Linked DNA regions of Alligator mississippiensis. The protein of the gene in region 2 interacts with the protein of the main gene of each other region in a biochemical or structural test. Links are inferred from orthologs where the notes say so. Each region holds a gene or a part of one and is shown on either strand. Other genes may lie near its edges.

Region 1 (7,680 bases), on a different chromosome or scaffold from region 2:
GGTCATGCTGAGAAAATGCAGTCATGCTGAGGAGAAGTTTGGGAAGCACTGCTCTAATGGGAACTGTGTGTATTTCTCCTTTGTAGAGGGATAACAAAAGCAAAAGGAGTGAAGGTGGGAAAACAAGGGACTTATGGGTATATCTCAGAAGGGAACAGAATGCAAAGAAATTTGAACAAAAAAAAAAGTCAACTAAAGAAACGTAGAAGAAATCTTATTGTGGCGCTAGTAATAGATGCCATACTTGAAATCTGTCCAAAACTGATCTTTGCAGGTTGTGTCAAATAGAACGTTCACTTAATTTTTAAACAAAGCTCACCTTGCACCTGCCTAGGCTTAACTTGTTCCACTCCTGCACTCAAGTTAAGGTCCGTATTAGGTGCTAAAGTTAAGAGTTTTCACAAATACTGTATATACCTCTATTCTCATCACTGTTTTGCTGTGGTGGACCTTCTTTAATTTGGTGTAGCCTTCTCAGCAACTCTTCTTCAGTAATTTCACCTTAAGAAACAAAGAAAGATTTCCCAATATATATGTATGTCCAAATAATCTCTATAAGGAAGGAATTATGTACATCTTAAACAGTCTTAAGACTGCAGTTCAGAGAGATTGTGAATATTCTTTTAACAAAAAGCTAACTGCTTATAAATATTCTTCACTGACTTCTAGAAATTTAGCCAGAGGGCAGCTTGTGGAACCCCCCAAAGCATCCTTGCTCACAGGTAAGACCAGCTACAACTGCAGCATCCAAAATACAGTTACCAACTATTTAGAACAAAATTGAGAAAAGCTTTTTCCTGTAATCTCTAAGAAAAATCTCATCAGTCTTCTCCATTCCAAACCAATTAAGATTCTGCCTATATGAGACAACTATAAGAGGTATTACTTTTAACTGATTTATTACCAACATGTGTTGGCATATTTTTCTTGGACTGGCTCATTTCAAATTTAGCTTACCTCTATTAGGAATGCATTAAAAAAGCCATCTTGCAAGTTTTAATAGCAATTCAGGTAAACCAGTGCAAGCTCCTGGATGGACAAACTTATTTAATCTTTTCAAGTGGCTTATTTTTGTTTCTCCAAGATGATTTCTAACAAGAATAAGCTAAACTGAAATACACTCCTCACAAAGGCCATCACCAGTTTAGCTAGTTTGCCATTAAAATCTGTACTCTTCATTAAGCTGGTGCAACCTTCTCCCATACACAAGGCCAATACCAGAACAGGCCTCAGACAAACTTTGGATGTCCTTTTTTAAGCTGAGTAAACATAAACAAAGCAAATAAACTCTGCTTCTGTTAACTCAATTTCATCCTAGTTAGCGCTAAATTATATGTATTGCCTTTCTAGAAAAGACATACTGTACGTTCAGATAAGTAGAGAGCTACTCTCTTACGCTGGCATACAATTGTAGTTGGAAGAATACCGGGGGGGGGAATTTAATGGCACAGCAGCAAGAAAAAAAAACAGGTCATTAAAATTAGTCTGGTAACATTAAAACTTTAATATACAAATATGTATTCTGATATACCTGGAGTTCCTAGCAAATTGTTATCCCTCATAAGCCTGTACTCCTCGTCACTCAGGTTATTGACAAACTGATAGAAAGCTTCTTCCCGATCTAATCGATCCAGCTGACTACGACGCTGAGCTTCTGATTGATCAATATTTCCTTTATCATTAGAATCTGAGCTTTCCATGTTGATGAAAGAGTGGAAGAGAATCTGAAAAAAGAAAAACAATATTTTTAAACCATGGGTACATGTAAGTTATGGTAACCTATAAAACTTAATGATACTTTTAGAGGAATGATTTACTTGTTCCTGATCTGGACATTCACTTAAACTGAGCATCTTAAACATAAAACATGGAATTTTATTTTTCTAGAAGTCCCAGTTATGAGGATATCCTGTATGACCACAGGGATTAGCATTTAAATTGTTTTGAAAAATCAGTCTCTCTTTTTTGGACGCAATAACGTAAGACTGTTGAACTAAAAGGGATCTCAGAAGGTCATGTAATCTAGCCTCATGCTCCCAGCAAGACCCTCCGTGACTAAACTATCCCAGGCAAGTGTCTAACTTGCTCCTAAAAATTTCTATCGATGGAGATTCCACAACTTCTAGATAGCTTGCTCCAATACTTAACTAATCGTATAGTCTGGAAGTTTCTCGTAATCTCCAACCACAATTTCTTCTGCTGCAGCCTAAAGCTATTTCTCCTAGACCCGTCTCTTACAGCAATAGAGACAAACCTATCTCCATCCTCTCTATAATTGCCCTTCAGGTATATGAAGACTATTACCAAATCCCCACTCAGTCGTCTCTTCTCCAGAGAAGAACATCAAGAAGTGCAGTACCACATAGAACTTTCAGCAGAACTGCACATCTCGACAATGAAAAGCTGCATGAAAACTATAGGCCATAACCTCAGGTCCATCCTTTTATATATTCAATGTTGCTCAGGCACGAAAGGTCTAAACCAGGGGTCAGCAACCCCTGGCACGTGTGCCAAGCATGGCACATAAGGCCATTTTGCTCAGCACGCCACCACCGGCCTGGGCTCTAGGCAGCTGCTGCCAGCCACAAAGCCCAGGCTGCTCCCAGGAGGCAGCTGGGTGGCTACAAGCTCTGCCGTGGTTGACAGCAGCTACCAAGAACCCTGGCTGGCTGCAGCCGGAAGGCTGCAAACATCTGCTCTGGGCTCCGGCATTAGCTCCATACCAGCAGGCGTACGTGTGCCTCTGAGCTGACTTTGTCCAGTGACAGAGGAGCCCAGCTCCGTGTGCCCACGTATCTGGTTCTGTGCGTATGTCTGCCTTGGTCTGGTCCTGCATCTGTGCGCGCACACACGTGTCTAGTTCTGGATGCATATATGCATGTGTCCATTCTGGGTGTGTTCTGGCTCTGTGTTTGTGCACATGGTTTTCTGTGTGCATGTGTCTGGTTCTCTCTCTGCTCTTCTTTTTCTTTCTCTCTCTCTCTCTCCTCTTCCTCTTGTCTCTTTTTTTCTCTCTCATTGCAACATGCTCAACAAAAAAGGAATACACAACAATAAAGGCAACATTTATGATTATTAAATATACTACTATGCAGCGAGTCCTGCCATATACCACCCTCCCCATTTTGTTTTTCTGACATGCCGGCACTCCGCCACCTTCCAAGGTAGACATGGTGGATTTTTTGGCACTCTGGCCAAAAAACATTGCTTACCCCTAGTCTAAATCTATTTTTCTAGCACAGGGGCAGGCAATTATTTCAGGAAGAGGGCCGCTTACTGAGTTTTGGCAAGCCATTGAGGGCCGCGTGACAGACAGCCAGGGGTAGATAAATATTTTCTAAATTTTTTTTTAGGGGCCCTGCGGGCCAGATAGAATGGCCTGGTGGGCTGCATCCAGCCCGCAAGCCACATTTTGCCCACCCCTGTTCTAGCACATACATCCTCAGAGCTGCTATTCCTTGGCAAATCACAAACCACAATTTAGAGAAGTCTAAAGGATGTATTCAGACAATCTGTAAAGGATGCAAGTTGTCACTGAATCCAACTTTACATTACACTAGAAGACAAGTTTTACAGGTTTTATTCTCCCAGAGTTATTCTTAAGGGAAGGAAGTGCCTCATGTCAGGCCTTCCAGCCAAGTAAGAGTAACATCGATCCCCCAACAGCCAGATATATTTGGCAGAAATATGGGCCAAGAAGCTGAATAAAAGCACAATACACTGAGAGTTCCAGAAAACATTTTGTCTGTGATAGCAAGACCTTAGTTTTCTCAAGAGAGGAAAAGGTTAGAAATTAATTCCAGCATCCAGTATCGAGAGTATAACTTAGATGCACTAGAAGCCAGTCTGCAACCAGTAAATTTTGATGACAAGAATTCAGAGGACAAAAAGAAACTTGTATGCCAGACATATTGCCAGCAATAATCAAGTAAATGTCTTCCTGTCTCCCTCTTACTATTTCAGTAAGACAAGTACCTTCATCACATCTTTCAACATTAGAGTAATGTCTTCATCTGATCAGTATTAAAAGCAAAGGACGAACAAAATCAGGAAACAATGGTAACCTTAAACCCTTGCAAATGCATTCAAATGAAACCTCGACAATAACTGGTTTTCCTTAATACATGCGCCTCACCATCCACCGCATAAAGTGCTAGAATCTGCAATTACTCACAGAGCTGGTTATCTAGCTAGCTTTCCATGTGGTAAAATGCTCCACTGCCACCATGAATATTCCCTCTTATTAAATAACAGCTAAAGCTATGTGAAAATATTGGAAGAAAAAAGCATTTCACTTTCTGCCTTTTGCTGGAGAACTTCCAAATAAGATGCTTTAGCAGCTGTCTAGTGCACAGAACTGACACTTTTTTTGGTTTCTCAGCACAGCTGGCAAGTCAGACACTGCCCAGTTTATGCCGGCACTTCTGCAAATAAGAAGTGTTGCGTCACCTCCAAGACCACTCTGCCTGTGTAATTTCAGTGGCTGCCAGTGCACTGCAACTCACAAAGTAACATCACCTTTAGAGCTTTAAGCACAGAAAGAAACACTATAAAATCCAGCATTCTACCACTGTATGAGGCTCAAGAACTACAAAGTCAGTCACACTATATATATTCTCTACTTTGGCTTTTAAAATGATGATTCTATAACCCTGTTTTTATTTTAGTCATCCTATTAACTAACATGCAAGTTCCTTTGCTGCCACTAACATAATACAAAGCATAGATTTTTTTCATATTTGTATTATTTAGTATTGTATTTATTTTCCAAAATGGAAGACACCCACAAATACCAATTGCATTTGCTAATACTTTCACCTCTGACAGGCAAAAGTAGCCAACAGAAGGCTCCTATATGTGTGAAGTGAAAGTTGATTTGATGTCACTCTGTTGAGAAACATAGATGCAGTCCAAAAACTCGTACCATCAAACGCATTGAAAAGTGAGAAATGTGTGCTATTCTGTACATTTTAAGTAACTGTTAATACCCTCATATATTGGGATCAGCTCATAAGGATGAGTGTGAGCTTCAAAATTCACACAAGTAATACAGAACAGGGGTTAACCTATGCTTTGTCTATTACAGTAGCTTTTTTAAGTTTGTGTAGAACTCTTGACAGTGCTAGAAAAGATTTTGTACTAAACAAATCTTGGTTAAAGAGGTTGTCAACTCGGAGACACCTAAATATGTAGGCTGCTATAGTTAAAATTAACATTTAAGTACAAAGTTGAGAAAAATACTTTTTTAGTTTTTCATTATGCATTTGACAGCTGTTACTGAATAATGAACTCCAACTCTAGAGCTAGTTTCCTCCATTTATGTGGATCTATCACACAGCAAAGGAAAGGTCGGTAGAAAAGAAAGTTTCTTATCTCTAAAACCCAATTATAAAACAAAAGGAACAAACAATATGCTGAAAGACGCATGTGATACTATAATCCCATGACAAGTACACATTCTTTCAAGAAAGACGCTGCGTTAACTATTAATGCTTCATCATTTTCATTCTGACTAAGAGCACGCTTTGATTATCCAATGGAAAACACTGGCCTTTTCCGTTTCAGAAGCCTGACCAAGAACAGTGTCCCATCAACAGAAGTGAGGTGAGACAATCATTTAATAGGCCAAGAAAGTGGACTCGAGTGTATTAAAATATATAAACACTACGGAAAACAGTCAAAGATTACTCTTAGGCAATATTTTCAACCTTATTTTTTCCCCAGCTTGCATTTTGGACTGGGTTTTCCTTCCTCAGTCCTCTTCCTTTCATTAATCCATCTTCTTACCTTTTCATCTGCACAGTTTCATGTTGGCCTAGGAAGATGTCATTACCGGAAGAAGGAACCAGTGGTGAATCTGAGCATTCAGTTAAACATAGGGCTGCCTGCTACAAATTTTTATATTGGTGTACCTACCACCACACTATACTTCACTACTGCAAACACCTGGTATTAATTCTGCACTAGTGTGGCATACCTCACTCTCAAAACAGGGTAGACACCATAGGTCTAATATAGAGGCAGCAAGTCTACATTAGGGGCTTCTGCAAGTGAAGCTCAGTGGGGAAGCTACACTGATGCATAAAAGCCAAAACGTCCAAGGCCCCACTCTAATCTCCAGATGTCTCAAAATGAGCAATTTGTCACTATATTTAATAACTGCAAGGGAAGAAGCAGCAAAGAATGACCACTTAAAGGAATAGAATAAACTTTCTACTTAGATAGCGTTCATTCCCCTGTCCTTGCTCCATTCTCTGGTACTTTTCATTTCCTTGAGGTCCTTCCTTTCCTCCATGGGATACATGGCTTCTCTCTCCAAACCCTATAATACTAGATGCCAGTTACAAAACACCAGAAGTACTACAAAGACAGCATAGCTCCTTCCTGCCTTGTCAGAATGGGATGTAGAGTGGTGGCATTCGCACAGCACTACAAACATGTTCTCATACTACAGTTTCACAAAAACAACTGCTAGACAGTTAAATCTCTGAGAGTTACAAGCCCCAGAATATGCGCTCCACTCACAATAGTCCTGAAGTGTGAAGTCTACAAATGGAAAATATTTTAAGGCTGTTGTCAATTTTTCAGCATGCTACTGTAGGGCAAAAATGACATAAGGGCAAAATATACCATGTTAGCCAATATGTTAAGGCAGGCATCATTGGTGACATCCTATTACAGGGGTGTGGCCTGCCAGGCCATTCTATCTGGCCCACAGGGCCCCTAACAATTTAGAAAATTAATATTCATCTACCCCGGCTGCCTGTCACGCAGCCCTTGATGGCTTGCCAAAACTCAGTAAGTGGCCCTGCGCCCGAAATAATTGCCCGCCCCTGTCCTATTATGTTACATATGGCTTCCAAAATATAGATGTAGCCATATTATCTACACTGCTCATATTGCTTTAAACTCCAAGTGAGATTTTGTTCTTACCTCAGTATAATACAGAATTTCCTTTCTTCCGTCAGCCAAGAGCTGTCAACAGAGGACACAAAAGACTGCAGGGGCTCATGTCTTTTAGTAGTAAGTGCAGATCTGTTGATTATAGCCAACTTTAGTTGATATATCCAGTAATAAAACTGAACATTTTTATGGAAGCACAGCAAGATGCGTCTAAAGTTCGCTGGAAACAAGAGTCTGGACAGAGACTTTACTTAAACAGGTGTATTTTTTAAGCTGCTGAACACTCAGATATATTAACTACAGTAAAAGCTTAATTGCCATTCCCACTCCAAGATTTTAGTGGTCACACAACAATCACACTCAACAAATTCCAGAACAAAAGACTAGCTATGTTTCTACCACCAGACATAAGCATAAGTACAGCAAGCTTATGCTAGCAATTAGTGAATATCCACCATTGTTCAATATTTTACTATCTACAGAAGAAGAACGACTTTTATGCTCTCCAAGGAATAAGTGAGCAAGAACTAGCCATGTCCATTCAATATGGAAAAGCTTTAGTCTTCAAGCCTTGACTTCACACACACACACACCCCCCCACCAAAGAAAAATATAAAAATGCGGTTCCAGGAATTTACTTAAACTAGATGCTTAATAAGTCATTTTGGACACTAAGCAACAGTAAAATGCTTAAACTCCCAGCCATCTTGATCATTAATACTTTGGCACCTACACAGCATCTTCCATCCCAAGATACATCCCAAAAATTGCACAATT
Region 2 (7,712 bases):
GCCTTCCTAGGCAATCTATTTCACTGCTTCATCGTTCCAACAGTAAATAAGTTTTTTCCAGATATCCAGTCTAAATCAACTTTACTGCAAGCCATTGGTCTACACCCTGCTCTCTGCAATGGAAAATAAAAGGTGTTTTCTCTCTTCCTTATGGCATCCCTTCAAATACTTGAACACTGCTATCCTGTGCCCTCTTAAGCAATCTTTGCACAAGCTGAACATTGCTACATGTGACATAGATATAAAGACAATCCCTAATACTCCCTTGCCTCCCTGGATCCTAAGCCCATGTTGCTTACAAGGATGCTTTTAGTTGTGTGAATTAACTCAGAAGTCCATTAGTGTGCAGAGACTATTCCAGATGAAAATATACGGCTCTAGTATCGTGCATCTTGTGCAGGGTGCAGCAGGCCACAAACATACATACAGTGTTCTAATCCTCACCAGCTTTAGAGGCAATGCCATTTGGCTTCCCCTTTCTGAATGTATGTTTGAACAGCATTCTGCAGCTGCCAAAAAATATAACTGCATTTTTTCTACAGTTCCTTGTCTGGGTATAGATGAGCTTCATGAGCTACAGCAGGAGAGAATAGGCACAGTCCCTCAAAGTCATGGTGAGCATTTGTGCCCCATGGTCATGTATTTGGAAGAAGCAAGGTCCTAATTTATATATGTCTCAAAACCTAGGTGCCCTGCATCTTGCCGGTATTTCCCACACTTCTATGGATCATGACATTCTGTAGGACCAACAGCAACTTCTTTAACTTAAGATATTGAAGGAGCAACTATAGGCATGTGTGTGGCACTAATGGCCTCAGTACAATTTGGGTATTCTAGTCTCTGAAAGCCAGATACTATTTCAGGGACTTTCCTGATGCCAACAGTCTGCTGGGCTAGTAACACTGCCTCAGCTCCACTGTGCTCTGAGGCAGTATTATTGGAGAAGCTGAGTCAGAAACATAGGAGCAGTTCTTAAGGGCTTGTATACACTGGAGAAAGACTGCATGGTAACAATGTCTCTGAGAGTTCTGTTTAATATTGAAGAACTAAATGAATGATATTTAAACAAGTCTGGAAATTTTAAGGCTAAAAACTATTAAGATGGAGTGAAAATTAAGGCTATATATTAGTAATTTAAGAATGAAAACCTCTAGAGATGTTGGTAATTATAGGAAAGTCAAGCACTACAAAATCAAATCAGTCACAAATAAACTAACACATAAAAGAAAATCCAGCTAAATTATGGTAAGAAATGCACAGTTAAGATACTCAAATAATCTTACCTCTGCACTACAGTGATGACATAAGATGGGGAAAATGATAAATGTCTAATGTCTTCAGCCTTTTTGGGTAGGGCAAGATAATCATCATCTCCATTATCAGTGTAATCTAATCTACGTTCACAAACACTGAAATGTCTTAATCATATTAGGCACGTCGCCACAAGACAGTTTACTCAAGACTAGAGCAAACTATTGTGCAGTAAGCATCACTGTCTACACATACAGATGCTTCCTGCACAGTAATTTGTTCTAATTGCAGGCAAATTTGCCATCTGTAAATACAAGTACCAAATTTACTCAGGAGTAATTACTGTGCAGTACATCATGTGTAGATGGCTGACTGGGAGCAAATGTGTAGATGACTGACCAGGAGACACCTGTCTCCTGGCAGGGGCTGAGAGATTGCTCCCTGCCCCCAGGAGCTGCCTGCTGCCAAGACAGGCTCCACTACTGGAACCAGGGCAGGGACAATGTCCCCATGCCTCTGCAGCAGGGAGCTCCCAGCCCCCACTTTGCAATTGTGGAGCACAGAACAGGGAGGGGGCTGGGAGATAAAAATCATCTCCCAGCCCCCACTCCATGATTATCTGTCTGAGTTGGGTTTACTCTAATAGTAAATTACTCTGGAGGAGGGGTTCTCAATCTCTGGGCCACAGCCCGCTGCTGGGCCACAGCGGGTCAGCTGCCAGTCTGCAGCATGGTCGGCTGCTGGACTGGAAGTGGCTGCAGACCAGCAAACTGTGGCCCCCAGAGCTGGGCAGAGAGACCACGGCTCCTTTTGCAGGGCCAACGGCAGCGCAGGGTTTGGCTCAGATCCCCTGCCCGGAAGATGGGGGATATCCTTACCTGTCTTTCAGCCGCAGTTTGCCAGGTCGCAGCATAAAAACTTTGGGAATGCCTGCTGTAGAGTAAACCCACCTTGGAGCATTTGCACATGTAGATGCACCCATTGTATAACTAAAGGGCAGTTCAGATTGTTGGATTTATTTTCAATGTAACTTTAACTCTAAATTTCCTAGTCTTGTGATGTTTGGTTTTGGAATAATTACAAGCTTCCCTGTAATGTTTCTGACTCTTAATTTACCAATACCTATGATACAGTTACTAATTTTTCTCCATTTCAACATCATTTTTGTAGAGGAATTCTATTAACTTCTTTCTTATAAATTTCCTTCTTTCTGTGCTTGTTTATCATTGCCAGAAAATGTCCTTTAGTTAGTAAGTTTAGTAAGAACCTCTCTTATTAGACTCTGAAGAGTCTGAACTTTAATCAACAGAACGTAGATCTTTGACTTTCTGGCACTACACCTGATCAATCTGAGATAAAAACAACAAGGAATAAAGCAAACAAGTATTGCCTTTGCCTTAGTCGGTAAACCATGCAGAGCAGGTTTACTCCACATGACCCAAAACAGCTCGATGTTTCTTTGACCTTGTGATAGATGAGGCCACTGGTACTGCACACTTCCTCTAGCATAGTTACAAAGATAATCTAACAACTTCTTAGAGTGATATGTACTTTGAACTGTGCTAAACTGAACTGTTTCAAAAGCATTCTAAAGCTGTTTTAGTCTGGCCAATGTTTGAATGTGCCCTTCAAAGGAAAAACAAGTGATCCTGTATTTTCCTCTTTATGATGCATATAAAGCTAAATATTATAAAGCATTATTTTTCGTTTGTTCACATTAGAATTTAAGATCTGTCCTACTTGATATTTTCCTGTGAGAATGAGTAGGATTATTAAGTAAAATAAATTTGGAGTGCAACCAATTAAGTGCTGTTTAACCAGTCTATTTCACTCCCCCTTGGGAACACTTATATGGATGGTATTTGTTGTTAGCAGACCCTGATATGAAGACAACAGTTGCCCAGAAGATAGGGAAGTTATTGGTGAGTCCAGAAATGACTGAAGAGGCCAATCCGAGAACTGCATGACTGCAGACATGGCATACAGTTCCAGGAGGAGGAGCAGCAAATCCTGGTAACCTTGGGTCGTGGCTTGTTCATTTTGTCCCTCTCTCCTATCTGCTTCTATAGAGAGGTGAATTTGCTTGAAATGGTTGATGCTTTTCACTTCATGGCATCATTGGGAACAGGTCAGTGCTCAAGTTTCCCAGGTACTGATGTTAATATGGCATTTCTTCAGCTTGGCTTTCAAGGTGTCCTTGAATCTCTCCTTTTGCCCACCTCTAGAGCGGTGACCATTGGCGAGTTGGGAGTATAGGACCTGTTTTAGGAGCCAGTTGTCAGGAGTTCTTATGACATGCCCTGGCCGACGGATCTGGTGCCATATAAACACAGCTTCAATGCTGGTGGGGTTTGCTTGAGCTAGAACATTGGCATTCGTTCTTCTGTCCTTCCAGTTGTCTTTTCCGAAGACCTTGCTGACGGTCACACTCCCAGGCTATCTGGAGTTTCCAATACGTTCAGAAACTGCTAAACTCTTGGAGTCAATTTCCATGGTACTTTAGTGAATTCTACAGTCTACATACACATTATTACTAAAAGGTTTCTTTTTATGATGTTTGCTACTTTTTTTCTTTGACTGTTCTTAAGCTGTAAAACAGGGAGAGCAAGTGTTCTGATGTACCTGCCCTCTATCATTATCGTGTACTTGTCTCCTTTGTAAGGTGAACAGTCAGTCTTCTCAGTCTCTTTATGTGAGGGTTTTATAGACCCTGATTGATTATTGTTGTCTTTCTGTTCCTTTACTACTTGTTTTGTACCTTAGATTGATTGAGCAGGTGTAGTGCCGCAGAACCAAAGGTCTACCTACCGTCCGTTGATTCAAGTGCAGACTCTTCAGAGTCTAGGAAGAGGTTTTTACTAAACCTACTAACTAAAGGACATTTTCTGTCAATGATAAACAAGCACAAAATGAAGGACGTTTATAAGAAGGAAATCAATATAATTCCTGGACAAAATGACGTTGAAATGGAGTCAAGATTAGTAACTGTATCATAGGTATCAGTAAATTAAGAGTCAGAAACATTACAGAGAGGGCAACAGCCTGGGGGACAAGAAGTTTGGGCCCTGATGTCACACCAGGGAAGGCAAGATTTGGGAGGCCTCCGAAGGTGGCACTGGCAGCTTCTCTGTGGCGTCAAACACGCTCCTCGGCACCCGGTTTCGGGAAAAGGTGGCTGGCGGTCGGGGACGTGCTCCACCTGCTAGCTCCCTGGGGCGAGGGGTGTTTGTCTGCTTTCCTTGCTCTTCCAAGGCGGCCGCCGCCTCCAGTGCGGGCCGCACGCGGTCTCCACGCAGCCCCCTCGGCAGTGACATCCGGGCGGCTGGTCCGCGGGGCCGGGCTCGGGCCCGGGCGCGCGGGGCGGTGGCGTCGGGCGGGCGGCAGGGGGCGCCGTTGCCACGCCGCCGGGACTACATCCCCCAGGCTGCCGCGGGCGGGGCTCGGGCTGCGACTCAAAGCGGAAACAAAGAGACAAGGAGCCGGAGCAGAGCGGACCCCGGCCCGGCCCCGGACCCGCCGCGCCTGCAGCCCGCCGCGCCCCGGCCGCCGCCCCCCATGGCGCTGAAGCGGATACAGAAAGTGAGTGCGGCCGGCGGGCCCGCTCCCTGCTCCTCGCCCGCTCGGCCGGGCCGGGCCGAGGCGGGTGCCGGCAGCTCCGGCCCGGCCCGACCTGCCCGCCGCGGTGGCGGCCATGGGGGCGGCGGCGGAGCGCCTGGGCCGGCGGCGCGAGGGGCGGCCGGGCAGGCCGGGGGCGGGGGCAGAGCGCGCCGAGCTGTCAGCGCCGCGGGTAGGAGGCCGCTGCGCCCGGCGGCGGGAGGCGGGAGGCAGGAGGCGACGGGGCCGGCCGGCCCCTCCCGGCAGCGCTGCCAGGGCCGCTGGGGCGGGAAGCGGAGGCCGCGGCAGCTCCGAGACGGCGCAGCTCCCCGTCTGCCCGCACCGCTGCCCGGCCGAGAGGCGTCGGGAGGTCGCCTGTAGTCCGACCCCTGCTCAAGGCAGCACCATCCCCAGCTGTCTCAGCCCAGCCAAGGCTTTGTCCACCCAGGTCTCAAAGACCTCCAAGGATGGAGATCCCACAGCAAGGGTAGTTTGTTCCTGTGCTTCACCACCCTCCTAGTGAGAGAGTTTTTCCTTATATCCAACCTAAATCTCCCTTCCTGCAACTTGAGACCGTTGCTCCTTGTTCTGTCACCTGCCACCACTGAGAGCAGTCCAGCTCCATCCTCTTTGCAACCCCCTGCAGGGAGTTGAAGGCTGCTATTAAATCCCCTCTCAGTTTTCTCTTCTCCAGACTAAATAAGTACAGTTCCCTCAGCCCCTTTCAGAAGTCATGTCCCCAGCCCCCTCACCATTTCACTTGCCATCCACTGAACTCCTTCCAATATGTTCATGTCCTTTCTGTAGTGGGGGCCCAAAACTGGACACAGTACTCCAGATGTCGCCTCACCAGTGCTGAAAAGAGGGAAACATCAGTTCCCTCAATCTGCTATCAGTGCTCCTGCTAATGCAGCCCCATATGCTGTTAGCCTTCTTCACAACAAGGGCATACTGTTGGCTCATATTCAGTTTATTGTCCACTGTCAACCCCAGGTCTCTTTCTGCAGAGCTGCTGTTTAGCCAGTCAGTCCCCAGCCTGTACTGGTGCATGGGATTGTTTCATCCTACGTGCAGGATTTTGCACTTGTCCTTATAGAACTTCATGAGATTCCTTTTGGTCCAATCCTGGACACAACCTATAGGCAGGTCCCAAAACTCAAACCTACAAGCAGCACTTGTAAGTGACATCCTTTTAAAATGAAAGAACTTGTGCAGACTCTGTTCTTCCTGGAATGCTTGCCCTATAAGTGTCCATCTTTTGTGGCCATAGAGCTGTTTTTTACCATTCATGAGAAATGTGAGTGATGGGTACATGTTTCACAGATAGTCTAAGGTTATAAAGTTATGCTGTCTTGCTGCTGTTACTAATTTAATGGCATCCTTGTATTCCCATCTAGCATTCTATCCTGCTCTCTTCATGTGGATTAGTGCTTGGTTTCTTGTTTAGAATTATGTTTACACAATTATTTGATGAGGATGTCACAACTGGTTAACTGGAAATGAATGAAGGTATTAACCTGAATTATGCCAGCCACTGAACTGAGCTTAAAGTACAGATTTAGGAGCTGGGAGAGTTAATACCAGCTCTGCCACAGATTACTCAGGAAAACTAAGGTAGAGACAAGCTGTCTGTCAAACGAAGATCACTCATCTACCTCGTGGGATTCGGAAGTTCCATTTATAATACTCAAATTCCACATAATGTGTGGAGGTCCTTGGGTGGAAATAATAGAATAAATACAAATTACTAAATATATTTAAAGTTGTTCTAGAGCTGTTCTAGGCTATTTTATTTATTTAGGGGTGTTCTTAACAGTTGATAGGAGACCTTTAATTCCAGATAGCCAGCAGGCAATAGAAGTATTCATGTGGGATCAGTTCTATGGTCCAACTAAGAAACAGCTTGATTGCATTCTGTCCCCAGTGGTGGCCAGGACCAGATGCATCAAAAGACAATACAGGATTTGGAATAATTTGCTTGACTCCCTTTCTTCCCATAAAAGCATCATCCTGATCTCTAGTAGTTAGAAGCATGAATCTAAAATCAGATTATTTTATCCCTCCTCAAACTGTCACTAAATATATTAACTCTGGACTGTATTATCTGTATAAGCAAGCAGTCAGTCTTTGGAATATTGCTAAACTCTTGGAGTCAATTTCTATAGTAGTGAATTCTACAGTCTACATATGCATTATATTAAAAGGTTTCCTTTTATGATCTGTTTGCTGCTTTTTTTTCTTTGACTGTTCCTTCTTAAGCTGTCAAACAGGGAGAGCAAATGTTCCTGATGTACTTGCTCTCTATCATTATTGTGTACTTGTCTCCTTTTTTTGTCTCCTTTGTAAGGTGAACAGTCAGTCTTCTCGGTCTCTTTATGTGAGGTTTTTTATAGACCCTTATTGATTATTGTTGTCTTTCTCTGAATCCCTCTGGTTTTATAGTATCCTTTTTTTGGGGTGGTATGATAAATACTGCATGCAGTATTCCAAAGGAAGCCACACCACTGATCTAAAGCATCTGTTCTATTATATTTGCTGTATTTTTTCTCTGCTTACATTTCTTATGTGTTGTATCATTTTTTTTCTTAAGAGCTCCTCCATGTAGAGGAAGCCTATAACTTGTACGGTCAAAACATTTTTTAAAAGCTTTCTTACGTGGTTGAGTGGTCTGTAAACAGTTCTTTGCACTAATGTGAAAACTTAGAAGTTGGTATTTCAAAGTGGGAAGAACATAACCTAGTCTAACAGTATTCTCATCACTTACCTTAATTACTTATTTTTTATTTGAAATGTGAAAAAAATTCAGAGGGAGAGAGACAGCAAAAGGTTTGCTGAAGTTGGCAAGTCCAACATTAGATTGCTTTCTT
Region 3 (7,136 bases), on a different chromosome or scaffold from region 2:
CCTGCAGCCCCGGTAGGACCGGCACAGTCCCTGCAGCCCTCCCACGGTTGCGGGCCCCCATCTGCCTGCTGGATGAGAGAGGCTGTTTTAAGCTTCCCCATTATATTGTATGGGCAAAATGGCGAAACAGCGTCGAAACAGTGACACTGTTTTGACAAAACAAAACAGAACAGAACAGCGGTTTCAAATTGAAATGAAATTCAAAACAAAATGCTGTTCTGTTGAAACCTTGAAACTCAAGCCAAAATGGAACGGTGCCGTTTCGCACAGCCTTACAAACCAATATACAGTTGGGATATAACAATTGTTTTGAGATTTTTTCTGATCAATTTATATTTTTCATTCTTTTAAAGTCATATCCTATGAATGCAAAATAACTAAGTAACAATAAAGAACTTGGTAGATTAACCCTAACACAACCTCAAGCAACTAACTCCTGAGCCTTTCTTCAGAAATGTGAGATACTTACACCTTTTTAAATTGTAACATACTAATTTTTTTTACAGGAATTAGAGAAAAATAAATAAAATGTATTCCTGTAAACAAGAAACCTGCCCTTCATATATTTTATCAAGATATAAGTACATGTGGATACTACAATATTTTCCCTGAAATCAAGACTTTTGCATATTCTCTACTGTATCAGAAAACTACGTGCAGACAAAAGGCCAGGTATGGACTGTATAGAGCTATGAAGAGACTTATTTCCATGAATATTCAGAGATGGAAAACCACATGATCAAACTTGTGCTTTTTTGACAGGGTTGGGAAGAATTTAGTTTTAAAGAATACCACTACAGTACATGTTTTTACCAGAACATTACTGTTAAAAAGGAATGAACATTTCTAAGGGTAAAAGCCATGAAGTTTATAGTGTCCAAAATCCTTTGAGTCAATTCCATTACCGAATTCTTGGATTATTACTGTTGCTGCCTGGGCAATGTGTCCAACAATCACAAAACTGATCAGTTCTCAGAAAGTGGACAAACACCCAATATGAAGGGCAGAGAAAAGCATTTAAAATCTGTGGGTGGAGGAAAATAATTTATTTTATTTAGTATTAAATTCATTTAGCATCCCACTTTCTGCTCCTTTGGTCTTGTCTGTGAATAATTAACAAATTACAAAAATGAAATTAAAAGAGAGACGCAGGGGGGAAAGAGACGTAGTAAGGGAAGAGGTGGCTTTTGTGTTTGGTGGAGCCCTACAATGATGGAAGGGAAATACTGAAGATAAATTGTCTCTTCTTTCCAAACGAAATTATAGCCAGTGAAACAACTGAATGGTCGTGCTATCAGAAGGCTGCACATTGCTAACTCAGGCGCCCACTATAACTTACAGATATTACACAATTACCCAACATAAATTTAGACAGGCCACACATGCAAAGTAATACAATTAACAAGTTAATCCTGCAATAAATTTAGACCAGCTACATGCGGCAAGTAACAATCACACAATAAAAATAACTACCCTGCTTTAAAGAGAGACAACCAGCTACAAAGTTAGCATTTGAGAACAGGAAACCACAATATAACTGGTTTCTATCCAGTTTTAATTTGAATGTAGAACAGGGTCCTCAAGGATGACCAGCACAGCACCTTACCCAGATCACACAACTGCCCCGCTTTAGTTCTGCTGCCAGGAAGGGTAACACCAAGGTTTGAATTACTGGGGAGCTCAGTAGGGCTGAGTCCCCTGCATAAGAGATGAGAGCTCCCCTGTAAGATTTGAAAATCATAACCTGGGGGGAGTCTCCAATTTTATTAGAGCATAGTGATGAGCAGCCAGGGCTGGATTAACCCTTTAGTGGGCCCTAGGCAAACAAATTCATGGGCCCCTACTTTTTTTCAGTCAGTAATTATAATATGTAAATAAGCACAACTGGTCCCCTTCTTCACTTAAGGCCCTAGGCATGTGCCTGGTTTGCCTATGCGTTAATATGGCACTGTGGGTAGCCCAATTGCTTTTGCAAACCCCTGGAAGAATCAAATTTGATGTAATTTGAACCCTGGGTAACACCAGAGCAAGGGAAGATAAGATGGCCCCAATGGCTGCCACCAGTATTTATAATGATGCACTGCAGCAAAGCTGGAGGCAGTTAACTAGAAGAGACCATGCCAGCACTGTGGTTGGAAGAGGTTAACCCGGAAATAATTAAAAAAAAAAAAAAAAAGGATGAGGGAGAAGTTTGGGCCTTCACAACTTGGCCCCAGGGTCAAGAGAAAGATATCGGGACCGTCTAAGGTTGCCAACTCTGTTTGAATCTCTTCTGAGAGGTTTCATCCCATGACATAACGACACACAGCACAAACATGCCTGCATGCATCAGTTACGGTTTACAGTGTGTAGACTTCAGGCCAGGAAGGCCAATGCACGATACTGCTACATATGAAAGACCTTCTGGACTACTGCATAAATCAGACTCAACATTTCCTATTTATTTGAATGAGACCCCTATCACTGATCTCCAGGGTGGGGGGTGCTCATAGCAGTCTCCTGAAGATTTGTATCTAATTCCTGGAGACTCCAAGGAAATCCTGGAGGGTTGGGAACCCTGAGGCCTTTGCCTCTGGCTTGGGCTGTAAGTAAAGGCTGGGGCATCTCACACTTCCCCTTGCCCAGCCAACCCCTTCCTCTCTCGTGGCCAAGGACCATGGCACAGGCCACCTGCTTCAGGGAGCCAGGGTGCGAGGACTGACACCCTCGTGACTCAGGGCCAGGGGTAAGCACAAACAGGGGCCCACGTGGCCCCAAAGGCCTGCGGGGGGAGGGGCACACTGAGGGCCAGTGGAGGGGCGTGTTCTGTGCATGACGGAGGGGGGGGTACGTCACAAGCTCCGCCGCGCGCTGCGTCATGGTGGCCGCTGGGGACGGGGCGGGAGGAAAAAAAAGGGGGCGCTACATCCGGGTCTCACTCACTCACCGATCATAGCCCCGGCGCAGTGAGGGGTGGGGGGGGAGGAGCCGCGCTGCGCAAAGCCTCGCCCTGCGCCCTGCCGGCCGCTGAGTCACACTACGCCTGCGCAGCGAAGTCGCTGCTGGTGCCGTAGCTGCTTCAGCGGGCGGTTGGGAAAGGGAGGGGCGCAACCTACGCTGGGGAGCGTAGTTCTCACGTGGGATCACGTGATCGACGCAAATTGACACCTCTACTCCTCCCCCTTTCCCTCGGCTGCCGCACGTGACCGGGCGCGGCCAGCCGACAGGTTGTTGACGCGTTGCCTAGCAACCGGAACGCGTCCCTAGAAGCGCGCGCGCGCTGGCGACTGACTCGGTTATAGCGTCCACCCCGCGCGCAGCCGCCCCTGCCGCGAGCCCCCGCGGGGTGAGGCGGGGGGAGCATCCCATTGTGGGGCGTAGGGGAGGGACATCCCATTGTGGGGGTGGCAGGGAGAGGGTGGAAAGCATCCAATTGTGGGGCGGGGGGAAGCATCCCATTCTGGGGTGGGGTGGGAGGGACATCCCATGGGGGGGGGGAGGGCTGACTTCTTTTTGCATCTGGCTGACATGTTTCTGATCCCTGTTTTGTTCATTTAATGTAAATTTTCTTAGATTTATTCCAAATGCAATAAATGTAACCCTTGCCCCTGGTTCCTTTCTCATCCCTACTTTCCTTTTATTTCTTTTAGGAAGGTGCGGGGCAAGATGGTGGTGGAGCAGCAGGGCGCCTGTGCCCTGAAGCCAGCATGGCACCTCCCCCCACAACAGCAGCTGCCACTGCGGCCTGCCAAGAAAGCCAAGCCACAGGTCAGCGACGGCTTCACCGTCAAGGCCATGATGAAGAACAGCGTGGTACGTTGCCTGCCTGCCTGACTGTGTGGTGCGCCCGGCAGGTTCTGCCTCCTGCCACCGTGCTCCCCACGGGGCCAGAGGTTGGGCAGTGGGAGAGAGATGGCATCATTCACTGGGGCTTCCAAAGGGTCAGATGTGGCCCGTAGGCCAAGGTGTTTGAGCACTGCTGGTTTAGTTTCATGTGCCTGTGAAAGACGTATTGAGAGAGTGTTGGGGACTGTACTTGCCACAGGGTTGTGTGGGATTGGCAGGTCTTTCTGTGGAGGTCAGCGGTCACTGATAGAGCCTCCAGGCCTTGGGAAAAGCCCATGTGAAGGAGGAGATGTCCCCTCCAGAGGGTTTGCTCCTGAGCTTCGTAATGCGTCAGGTCGGCGCCGTTGTGGCACGATGTTGTTTTTTGTCGGCCATTCACATTGCATCAGAGGGCCAGGGTATCCACAGGGCATGCACTCGATCGTACTGTGCAAAAGCATGGCGCAAAAATGTTTTCTTCTCAAGTTGCTGTTTGGCGCGATTATGACAAATGTCAAATCATATGGCAAAAATCTGTCTCTGGCACCCAGGTGACTCCCAAGGCCTGGGCAGGGCCAGTGGTGACCAGAGAGACAGGGGACAGGAGATGTACAGTAGATCATGCTTCAGAGCCTCAGGTGAATAATGTAATGGTACTAAGTGTGTATTTTTAGTTAACGTAGCTAACCCAATGTATTTTTAGCAAACCCCTAGGAAAAGGTGAGGGAAAGAAACAGTTGAACATCACTAAATAACCATGAAGATAATGAAAAACACACTTTTTAATAATAACTTCCAAAAATAACTCTCACAATACTAGTGAATAGTACATTGAAAAGGATGTAATTCTCCAGCTGATAGCTTTTAGGATGAAGATGACCCAGGGGTGGATCCAGTAATCTTTACTTTCATTAATAGTCCCTAGAGAAGCACTTCCACTGAAGATCCTGGGATGGCTGCCATCAGTAGAGAGTCCAGAATTGGGCCCTGTGTTTGTAATGAAGCTTTTTTGCAATAATTGTGTTAATTGATTGCTCCCATCAAATGTAATAAATAAAAATCAAAGCTTCTGCTAGTGCAGAATGCAGCTGCTCAGTTTGCAAGTGGAACGAGCTATTACAAGTACACAACATCTGTGCTCAAATCTCTGGACTGGCTTTTTGTTTGCTTGTGGGTACAGTTCAAGGTGTATATAACAGTATTCTTTTTTTCTCTTTTTTAATTTATATTTGTTTTCCTGGGGAAAAGAAAAAGAAATGCTAGAGACTTCTCTCACAGGTCTCTGGAATTCACTATATACAGCAAATATTGACAATTAAGCATAAGCAAGTCTACTTTAAATATAAACAAAAACGTTCTGTTCTAGAAAATACCTGATAAGTAACATTTTCCCTTTCTAGAGGTCCCAAATAATCTTATAGCCAACAGTAATTAAAAGCAAAGCTTCTCCTAGCACTAACCTATTATCATATAGTACTAAGAACACAATGTATGTGATTTAATATTTACAGTCAAATCAAACAAATTCAGCTTTTGGGGGGAAAAAAGTGTTTTCCATAATTAGTTTTCATTTTTACATTTAACTCTAAAAAGATAATTGGCAACATTAATTAAAAAATACATTATTATATTTTGATCATAAATTACCATTCTGTAAAGCCTCACACAATGTGCTTCAACTGTTTAGAAGATGTCCTTTTGGCTTAAGCAGGTATTAGATTAGATCCAACAAAGCAACATGAAAAGAAAGAAAGGTTTCAGCCATCTGTGGGTTTCCTTCATTCTGAAATACCAAGTCTTGAGTCCCCTTTTTGAAGGACTGGGGAGGCTTAATAACAGAATTTTAGACTATATAAGGAGTAAACACTTGTCGGATGGCAATGTCCAAAAGCCCTCCTTTAGACTGCAGTCTTATTATGTAAAAATGTAGGCTTACACTCCTGCAAATATGAGCACTTAATTGTAGGCAAGTTAGTTTCACTAAGGTCATTCGTAGTGAATGTAAATGTATAAATCTTTTTAATGTACCAGAACAACATATTGAAAAAGTTGGAGGGATTTCACATCCTGCTTGTCTCTATTTCCTCAACTTTGGCAATTGTTAAACTTTCTACCACTGGTTTGATCTCACTTTTAAGGTTTTATTTTTTATAATACACTTTATTACATGATTAGATTGTACTCTAGCATATCTAAACCAATGATTATCAACCTTTTTTAGACCTAAGGCACCCCTTGTTAGCCCTTGGGACCCCTGTGAAAGTGATAGCTCTTAGCTTCTGCTCTTTTTTTTTTTTACAATGGGAAAACAATGGAGCAAGTCTTTTGTTACAAGGGGCTCAGAAAGACCACAACGGGTCAGAGTGTTTTCAGTAGGTACTATGGATTCCTGTTTGAAATCACTGGGCACCTATCCACGTACATTGAGGCTGCTCTGACACACTAATTACAGCACATCATAATCCATAGTACCTGTGCTGGAATGGGGTAACTACCATGCTCCAGCAGAATCCAGTGTCACGTGTATCAGCATCCCTGTGTTGATAAATGACAGTTGGGGGTGCTTTAACTAAAGCTCATTTGATAAGCTTTAGTCAAAGTGTCCCTGCTGCCATTTTTCAGCGTAGGGATGCTGATACACATGTTGCTCCTGATGCTTTAATTAGAGCAGCTGTAATTAAAGCACCCCCACCCCCCGCCTCCCAGAGCATGTGTATAAATGCCTACTGGGTCTATCTTGGGAATCATGTGCATGCCTAACAGTGCTAATATTGCATGGCATCCTGCATCACCCTTAAAACAACCTGACAGCAGTCTGAGATTCACTGATGTTGAAGTGGCAGGGTGAACTTCCAGAGGTGGCCGTGAAGCCCCTGGATGCGGCCCTTACTTTCTGGGCAGTCACCCTTCAGTTGTCCGTCATGTCTTAATATCATATACTTTTATGAGAGAGGCTGCCTAGGACTTCCCAAATTGCTCTTTCAAATGACCACCAGAGCTGCTTGCAGATGTTAAAAAAAAAAAGGTACTTTAAACATGCCATGTTCTCATGCTGAGCCCAGCACATGCCCACAAGAGGCAGCACATCAGTTAGACCCAGCTTGCCTGACAACTGTAGAGATCGGGTGCTTTAGTGGGGCTTTAATTTAATAGCTAATTAAAAGCTTTAGCTAAAAGTGCCAAAAAACCCTGCTGAAATGCCTGATCTATGCAGATGCTGCAGATCCAGTTTGAAGTAATGTGCTTCCTCTTCCAGTAAAGCACATTTTTTTTTTCTTTTTTAATGTCTGCAAGAAGCCCAGGTGCCTGTGGTCACTGCTGTATGGGCTAAT
Region 4 (7,965 bases), on a different chromosome or scaffold from region 2:
ACACTTTTAAAGTGATACTTAATGCACATTAGCCTATTTTAATGTGCATTAAGTAAAAAGCATGGGTTTTTTTTACATGACACTTTACTGCACATTAAAGCATATGTGTAGACGCACCATGGAGTTCATAAGCAGCTCTAGATGTAAAATCCAGCTCTGCTCTGTAACTGTGGGCTGAGTCTCCTGTGGAGTTACAATATTCAGGTCTAGTGCCAGGCAGGGAATGCAAATCTGGAAAGATTTTCTTGCCCCACTGGTATTTATGGCTCTGATTAAAAACAGCATCCGTGTTCCACAAATCACTTCCTAAGCATGTGACTGAAGCATTGAAACCAATGGGCTCAAGTGATTGCCTCTGTGCAGTCTTGTAAGAACTGTTCAGTGCAGATCTGGAATCCCACTACAATTTTTCAGTTGGAAAGCGAGACAGCTATGAGGTTCAGATCTACATCGGGGTCTGATATTCACACCTGAAGTTATATTTTATCTCCCCCAATACCTTACTGCAAAGAACCTGCAGCCCAGATCCAGACCCAAAGCTGAAGTTGGTTCCTTATTCCTAGTTCCTTATTTATTGTTCCCAGTTCCTGGTTCCTTTTTCAAAGCTAATCTAGACCCAATACAAACTTTTAATTAATGAATTCCACATCCTAAAAACAAGAGAATGTAATTGTCTATACATATGTACTAATTAATATGTAAAATAACATTCCACATCAAGTACAGAGCCCAAATGAAGGTCAGATTAGGATGGGATTATGGGGCAAAATACTTCTTAGGACACCCCAAATTTCATGGCGATGCCACCGGGGGACTGTTCCAAAGACCCCTGACCACAGTCCTACCTGGCCCAAAGCACGGTTTGGCTATACCAGGCTGCCAACTAACAGCCCCCATGCCCACTGTACTAAGTATAATGGCTTGAATAAGGAACTGGTTTTCAGGCTGGGATTATGGCTAGAAATTCTTCTTGGGCCACCCATCAGAATACCTCTGTGCCACCGGGGGGCTGTCCTGGACATCTGTGACCAGAGACTTGCCCGGCCTAAAGTGTGGTTTGGCTGTGCCAAGATGCCAATGGACAGCACACCAGCCACTCTGCTAAGTGTATGGACTTGAATAAGGAAGTGGATTTTGGGCTGGGATTATACCCAAAAATCCTTTTTGGGCCACCCTAGACCCCACCTCTGTGGTACCGGGAGACTCTCCTGGACATCTCTGGCCACAGACTTGCCTGGGCCAAAGGGCGGTTTGACCATGCCAGGCTGACAACAGACAGCACCCCAGCCGCTGTGCTAAATACATGGAACTGAATAAGGAACTGGATTTTGGATTGGGATTACACCAAGAAATCCTTCTTGGACCACCCCAGAACATACCTCTGTTTCACCAGGGGATGCTTTTGGACATCTCTGACCACAGATTTTCCCGGCCCAAAACACAGTTTGGCCGTGCCAGGCTGCCAACAGACAGGACCCAGGCAACAGTGATAAATATGTGGAACCGAATAAGGAATTGGATTATGGACTGAGATTATACTCAGAAATCCTTCTTGGGCCACCCCAGACCACTCTCCTGTGGCACCAGGGGACTCTCCTGGACATCTCTGACCAGAGACTTGCCCGGCCCAAGGCGTGGCTTGGCCGTGCCAAACTGCCAGCTGAAACCACCTCCCAGACACAGTCCTAAATATGTACACCCAAATAAGGAACTGGATTTTGGGCTAGGATTATAGCTAGAAAATCTTCTTGGGCCACCCATCAGAATACCTCTGCACAACCGGGGGACTCAACCAGGTGTATCTCACTAGAGACTTGTCTGGCCCATGTGCGGGCCGGGAACAATCCGAGGCCCTTTTTGTGCACCGCGGGCTGTGGCCAGCAGCCTGGACACGCCGGGTCAGGGAAGGCAGGCGGCACGCTTGAATTAGGCACGGACGCTTAATGGTTGTTTAAGATTGTTTACTTATACCGAAGATGGTCGCGGTGTAGGCTGGAACTTTTCCAGGAATACTTCGCTTAAATCCTAGTTTAAGGACTTGGAAAGAACTCTGATTCACTCACAGGAAGTTTTCGAGGCTCCGTGGAACTTTGCGCGCAGGGAAGGGTACGTCGAGGGATCATTCGGCAACAGGGAGCAGAATCGATAGGTGATCAGTCTATCGATCAGTTTAGCCGCAAGTCAAATCTCCTTAGAGGCACTTTGCAGCATGCTCGAAGTTCTCCGACTTGGGCGGAAACCACTCAAGCCTCTTATACGGCTAGTAAGCCAATCGCTAGCCGCCACGTGGGAATAATTTAGAACTGACCAATAGTGGGGCACAAATTTAAATACAAATGGCGGGAACTCCTTGCAACGTGCATTTCTGTGCTGCAACGAAGAAATGCACCCTGCAAAGAAAGCTACAAATGGCGGGAAAATAATTTAGCAGTGCCGAAGCACACACAAACAAAAATCACACCCTTGGGTTGTGACAGCCCAAAATGCGGTTTGGCTGTGCCAGGCTGCCAAATGACAGTACCCGGGCACTGGGCTAGATATATGGATCCGAATAAGGAACAGGCTTTTGGGCTAGGATTACAGCTAGAAATCCTTCTTGGGCCACCCCATGGCATACCTCTGTGACCCCAGAGGACTCTCATGGACATCTCTGACCAGAGACTTGCCCGGCCCAAAAGGCAGTTTGGCTGTGCCCGGCTGCTATCTGACAGTCCCCCAGCCACTGCACTAAGTATAATGGCTCGAATAAGGAACTGTTTTTTGGGCTGGGATTAGAGATGGAAATCCTTGTTGGGCCACCCCACTCTATGACTCTGTGGCACTGGGCGATTCTCCCAGGCATCCCCCACCAGAGTACTGTCCGGCCTAAAGCGCAGTTTGGCTCTGCCACGCTGTCAACTCAGAGCAGCCCCCCCCACTCCCCTCCGTGACTGTACTAAGGACAATGGCTTGAATAGGGAACTCTTTTTGGGCTGGGATTAGAAATGGAAATCCTTCTTGGCCACACCACACTATGACTCTGTGACACCAGTGGACTCCCCTGGACATCTCTAACCAGAGTCTTGCCCAGCCTAGAGCGTGGTTTCATCATGCCATGCTGCTAACTGCAGCCCCCGTATCCATTAACATAATAAAAGGCTTTGTCTGGCTGTCTGTGTGTCCATCTGAATGTCTGTCTGTCTTGGGCCAGGCAAGACTCTGGTTAGAGGTGTCCAGGAGAGTGGCCTGATGCCAAAGAGTCATGACATGGGGTGGCCCAAGAAGCATTTCCATTTCTAATCCCAGCCCACCAACCAATTCCTAATTCAAGACCGTATACTTAGCACAGTGGCTGGGGTGCTGTCTGTTGGTTTCCTGGCACGGCCAAACCATGCTTTGAGCTGGGCAAGTCTCTGCTCAGAGATATCCAGGACAGTTCATCAGTGGCACAGAGATGTGTTATGGGGTGGCCAGAGATGGATTTCCATCTAAAATCCCAGCTCAAAATCCAGTTCCTTATTCGGATCCATATACTTTGGGCTGTGCTGGGCTGCTTACAGTAGGCAGGCTGGCACAGCCAAATCCTGCTTTGGGCCGGGCAAGTCTGTGGTCAAAGATGTCCAGGAGACTCCCCTGGTGCCACAAAGGCACAGCATGGGGTGGTCCAAGAAGGATTTCTTGGTATAATCCGAGCCCAAAATCCAGGTCCTTATTTGGGTCCAGATACTTAGCAGAGTGGCTGGGGTGCTGTCATTTGGCAGCCTGGCATGGACAAACCACACCTTGGGCCAGGCAAGTGGTTGGTCACAGATGTTCAGGAGCATCTCTCGGTGCACCGAGATGTGGTCTGGGGTGGCCCAAGAAGGATTTCTAGCTATAATCCCAACCCAAACTTCAAATCCCGATACTTAGCACAGTGTCTATGGGGGTGGTGTCAGTTGGCAGCCTGGCAGGGCCATACTGTGCTTTGGGATGAGCAAGTCTGCGATCAAAGATGTCCAGGATAGTCCCCTGATGCCACAGAGGCACAGCGTGGGGTGGCCTAAGAAGGATTTCTGGGTATAAACCCAGCCCAAATTCCAGTTCCTTATTCGGTTCCATGTACTTAGCACAGCGGCTGGGGTGCTGGCTGTTGTCAGCTTGGCATGGCCAAACCATGCTTTGGGCTGCGCAAGTCCCTGATCAGAGATGTCCAGGACAGTCCCCCAGAACCATGGAGTCATGTACTGGGGTGGACCAAGAAGGATTTCTGAGTATAATCCTGGTCCAAAAACCAGTTCCTTATTCGGGTCCGTACATTTAGCACAGTGGCTGGGGTGCTGTCTGTTGGCAGCTTGGCACGGCTAAACCACACTTTTGGTCAGTCAAGTCTCTGGTCACAGATGTCCAGGACAGTCCCCCGGTGGCACAGAGGTATTCTGATGGGTGGCCTAAGCAGAATTTCTAGCCATAATACCAGCCTGAAAGCCAGTTCCTTATTTAAACCATTATACTTAGTACAGTGGGCATGGGGGCTATTAGTTGGCAGCCTGGCACAGCCAAACCGTGCTTTGGGCCAGGTGGGACTGTGGTCAGGGGTCTTTGGGACAGTCCCCTGGTGGCATCGCCATGAAATTTGGGGTGTCCCAAGAAGTATTTTGCCCCATAATCCCATCCTAATCTAACCTTCATTTGGGCTCTGTACTTGATGTGGAATATTATTTTACATATTAATTAGTACATATGCACAGACAATGACATTCTCTCTTTTATAGGAATAAGGACTAGGGAACCAGGAATAAGGAACGGAATAAGGAACCAACATCAGCCTCATGATCTTCATATGGAGACCTCGCTACCTCTTTTTTTTTTCCATCTGAGTTTCTTTCCCCCAGCTGTAGCACTGGCAAGTGATTCATTACTGGTTTAAGTGATTAGGTGGAGCAGAAATGACTTCAGGGCACCAGCTGGTTCCTGGAATGGGAACACCCACTTTTTGCTCAGTGCCAGGCATTCATTCCCTGTGTACAGTTCAAGTGAAATCAGTTTCTGCTCTCAGGGAAGGAGCCATGGCAGCCGTGTTTCTCCCTGGGAACCTCCAAGACGAAGCCACTTGCTCGGTCTGCTTGGAGTTTTTCAAAGATCCGGTGTCCATTGAATGTGGCCACAATTTCTGCCGAGCCTGCATCGCAAAGAGCTGGAAGGAGCTGGAAATGGACTTCCCCTGCCCTCAATGCCGAGAGGTATTTCAGCACAAGAGCTTCAGGCCCAACAGACAGCTGGCTAACATGTCCGAGATTATCAGCCAGTTCACCACACGCGGCGTGAAGGGGAGCGAGGAAGACGGGTTTTGTGAGAAGCACAGGGAAGCGCTGAAACTCTACTGCAAAGATGATCAGAAGACAATCTGTGTGGTATGCGACAGGTCCCGGGAGCACAGGCCTCATACAGTAGTGCCCATAGATGAGGCTGCAGAGGAGTACAAGGTATCTGTCTGTATGTCTTTGTGTCTTTCTATGCGTTCATACTCCATTTATCACCAAATTATGCAACAATCACCTAGCCCAATGGTTTTCAGGCATATCTTATTGGCATGTAACAAGCAATGACCAGTGTGGGACAACAGATCCCAAAGTACTCGTTGCTTCCTTTTCCCAGCTGTCAAGTTACAGTAAAAGACATTTGAAATCTTCAGATATCCTTTCCTAATGTTACTATTGATATAAGCAATTGTTTTAGTTGCCACGTGGATGTTACATGGTCATAAGCAGAAAGGGATGGTGGGAGCCTGAGGGATCATGGATAGGAATGGGAAAGTTCAAGGGGACAACTTCTCTGTGAATGTATGACCCACACAATGAGACACTTTGAGAACTCTGCTTTAAATAGTCTCCCGTATATATATTCACTTGAAGCAAAGTAATTTCAAAAGCTTGGCACTGCAAAAACTTTCTGAGCTCCTGAGTTAGTTTTATTAGGAAATGAAAGGTGAAATAAGTGAAAATATCCTGATTTATATTTAGCATGGGAGAATTTCTTTGGCACCTTCACCAGAAACCATAATAAAAATCCTTTTTACTATTATTTCTAGGGGCAAGTTCAGAGCCGTTTGGATAACCTGAAGAAAGAGAGACAAGAATTGCTGGAGTTCAAATCAAATGATGATAAGAAAACCCAAGACCTATTGGTGGGTGCCTGCTCTTTGCCACAAGATAACACTCAGGTGTTAGGGTGTAAATGGGAAATAGCATCACAATTTTCAAGGGAAACAAAGTGAAGCCTAACTGCTATTGGGTTTATGTTGCACTGAGGAAAAAATTGTTCTGGTTAACTGCAATCAGGGCTCAGAGTAGAGGTGATATTTTTATTAGATCAACAAGATTTTTGCAAAAAAAAAATAAATCCTTTAATTGCACGCTTTTGGGCACAAAAACCCTTCATCGGGCATCGGAGAAAAGATTCGAATTAACTGGAAACACAATTCTCATCTGAGATATTGCAGAGATGAGTATTTTAAGAAATATTAGTATGAATCCTGGCTAAAAATTTAAAAAACCACTGCAACTTCTGATCCAAACCACCTTAATGGAGGGTTGCCTTCCAGAGAATGCCTGCTCAGAAGTTTCTGAAATTCAGGTCCCTTGACCGTGTTTCAAATTGGGCACTGAAAGAGGGACACATCCAAAATCAATTTTGAAAGGTTAGAAGACGGGCAACAACAACAATAAGTGACAGGGATTAAGTCATGCTGTTCTATTTTAATGAAAGAGCTCTGCAAGTATGTAACAAGCCAGGAAAAGTGCTATTTGCTGAAGTCAGCTTCTCCCAGGCTGCTGGCTATCACCTCCAGCTGGGTCACCAGCTGTTGTCTCTATGGAGTGAGAGGGGAGAGCTGTTGGCACCTCAGGTTTAATCCCACCAGGTGCTGAGCAAACAGAAAAGATGTTTAGCACCCACAAATACCGTAGGAGATGGGGGCACTCAGCACTTTGCAGGATCAAGCCCTGGATTCCCATTCTCCTGTCCTTAGTCATGCACTGCTGAGTCTCATATGTCGATATCCTCCTGAGACATTCAGCCATGTAAACTGCTTTGTGGGCTAGTGCTGCACCTTCTAAATGTCACCTGCACCTAAATGACCCCCCCACCCCGGTCTCCGGAACTGGTTGCAGGGGGGGCACATGCCCCACCCTCCTCCCCAACTAAGGGGGCACCAGTCGTCCATGGTCACTTAATAGCTAAAGAAGAGGGGAATGTGTGTGTGGGGTGGTCACACAGCAGTGAAACCCAAATGCATGCTTGATTCATGTTCAAGGACCAAGACAGTAAGAAACAAAAATGCCCAGATTTACCTCTGAAATGCAGACAGCATAAATCTAAGCCAGAGGAAGGATGAGCCCTGGGTCTGTTTTTGGACGGTAAATGTCAGCAGAGCAACAGATCCCATTCCTTACCCTCTGCTCTCAGGTCATGTCTTTCTCGTGTCACTCCTGTCAGGCAAAAGTGTGCTCCTATCCCCTTTCCTTGCTGATAATACCCCTAGACAGTCATCCTCCCTTTCAGCAGGATTCACAGGCTTATGGCTACTCAAACGCTGCCTTCATTTTCACTCTAGATAAGTAGCAGGCAGAGTAGATTTGCACCTTCTAGACTAACCAAAGTGTGTGTGTGTGTGTGTGTGTGTGTGTGTGTGTGTGTGTTTGTGAAGGTTCCTTGGGTGAATTTGATATCTTTTATCAGACCAACCCAAATAGTTGGAGAATAGTTATTAAGCAAGCTTTCAGGTTCAAAAACCCTTCGTCAGGCTAAGGAAGTTTCAGCAGTTTGTGTGTGCTCTTCCTGGATGGAGTGAAAAGTAAAAAGCCAGGGGCTGGGCTGGGGAGTCGGTTGCCAGGCAGAGTGTGTGTGTGTGTGTGTGTGTGTCTCACATGCTTTTGTATGCTATAGTTCACTTAATCAGATACTGTAAGGCAGAAGGCACGGGTGCACACTTTAGAGAATAACTGG

What was found.
Region 1: the proteins of UBE2D1 (region 2) and RLIM form a complex in vitro, tested with the Homo sapiens proteins (5 studies listed by BioGRID). The link is inferred for Alligator mississippiensis from reciprocal best matches to the Homo sapiens genes UBE2D1 and RLIM.
Region 3: the proteins of UBE2D1 (region 2) and PRKN form a complex in vitro, tested with the Homo sapiens proteins (3 studies listed by BioGRID). The link is inferred for Alligator mississippiensis from reciprocal best matches to the Homo sapiens genes UBE2D1 and PRKN.
Region 4: the proteins of UBE2D1 (region 2) and E3 ubiquitin-protein ligase TRIM7 form a complex in vitro, tested with the Homo sapiens proteins (3 studies listed by BioGRID). The link is inferred for Alligator mississippiensis from reciprocal best matches to the Homo sapiens genes UBE2D1 and TRIM7.

The regions. Positions count from the first base shown.
Region 1 is NC_081831.1:65,171,910-65,179,589, forward strand, and holds the start of RLIM (E3 ubiquitin-protein ligase RLIM), read right to left. Parts: upstream 3,014-7,680; 5' UTR 2,889-3,013; coding exon 2,724-2,888; intron 1,725-2,723; coding exon 1,532-1,724; intron 502-1,531; coding exon 418-501; intron 1-417. UniProt on the Homo sapiens protein: E3 ubiquitin-protein ligase.
Region 2 is NC_081829.1:60,194,398-60,202,109, reverse strand, and holds the start of UBE2D1 (ubiquitin-conjugating enzyme E2 D1), read left to right. Parts: upstream 1-4,705; 5' UTR 4,706-4,806; coding exon 4,807-4,830; intron 4,831-7,712.
Region 3 is NC_081824.1:140,162,285-140,169,420, forward strand, and holds the start of PRKN (E3 ubiquitin-protein ligase parkin), read right to left. Parts: upstream 3,008-7,136; 5' UTR 2,934-3,007; coding exon 2,927-2,933; intron 1-2,926. Other genes in the region: PACRG (parkin coregulated gene protein), read left to right, coding at 3,646-3,792, 4,356-4,442. UniProt on the Homo sapiens protein: Functions within a multiprotein E3 ubiquitin ligase complex, catalyzing the covalent attachment of ubiquitin moieties onto substrate proteins. Substrates include SYT11 and VDAC1.
Region 4 is NC_081834.1:49,651,484-49,659,448, reverse strand, and holds the start of E3 ubiquitin-protein ligase TRIM7, read left to right. Parts: upstream 1-4,955; 5' UTR 4,956-5,027; coding exon 5,028-5,444; intron 5,445-6,049; coding exon 6,050-6,145; intron 6,146-7,965. UniProt on the Homo sapiens protein: E3 ubiquitin-protein ligase that have both tumor-promoting and tumor-suppressing activities and functions in several biological processes including innate immunity, regulation of ferroptosis as well as cell proliferation and migration.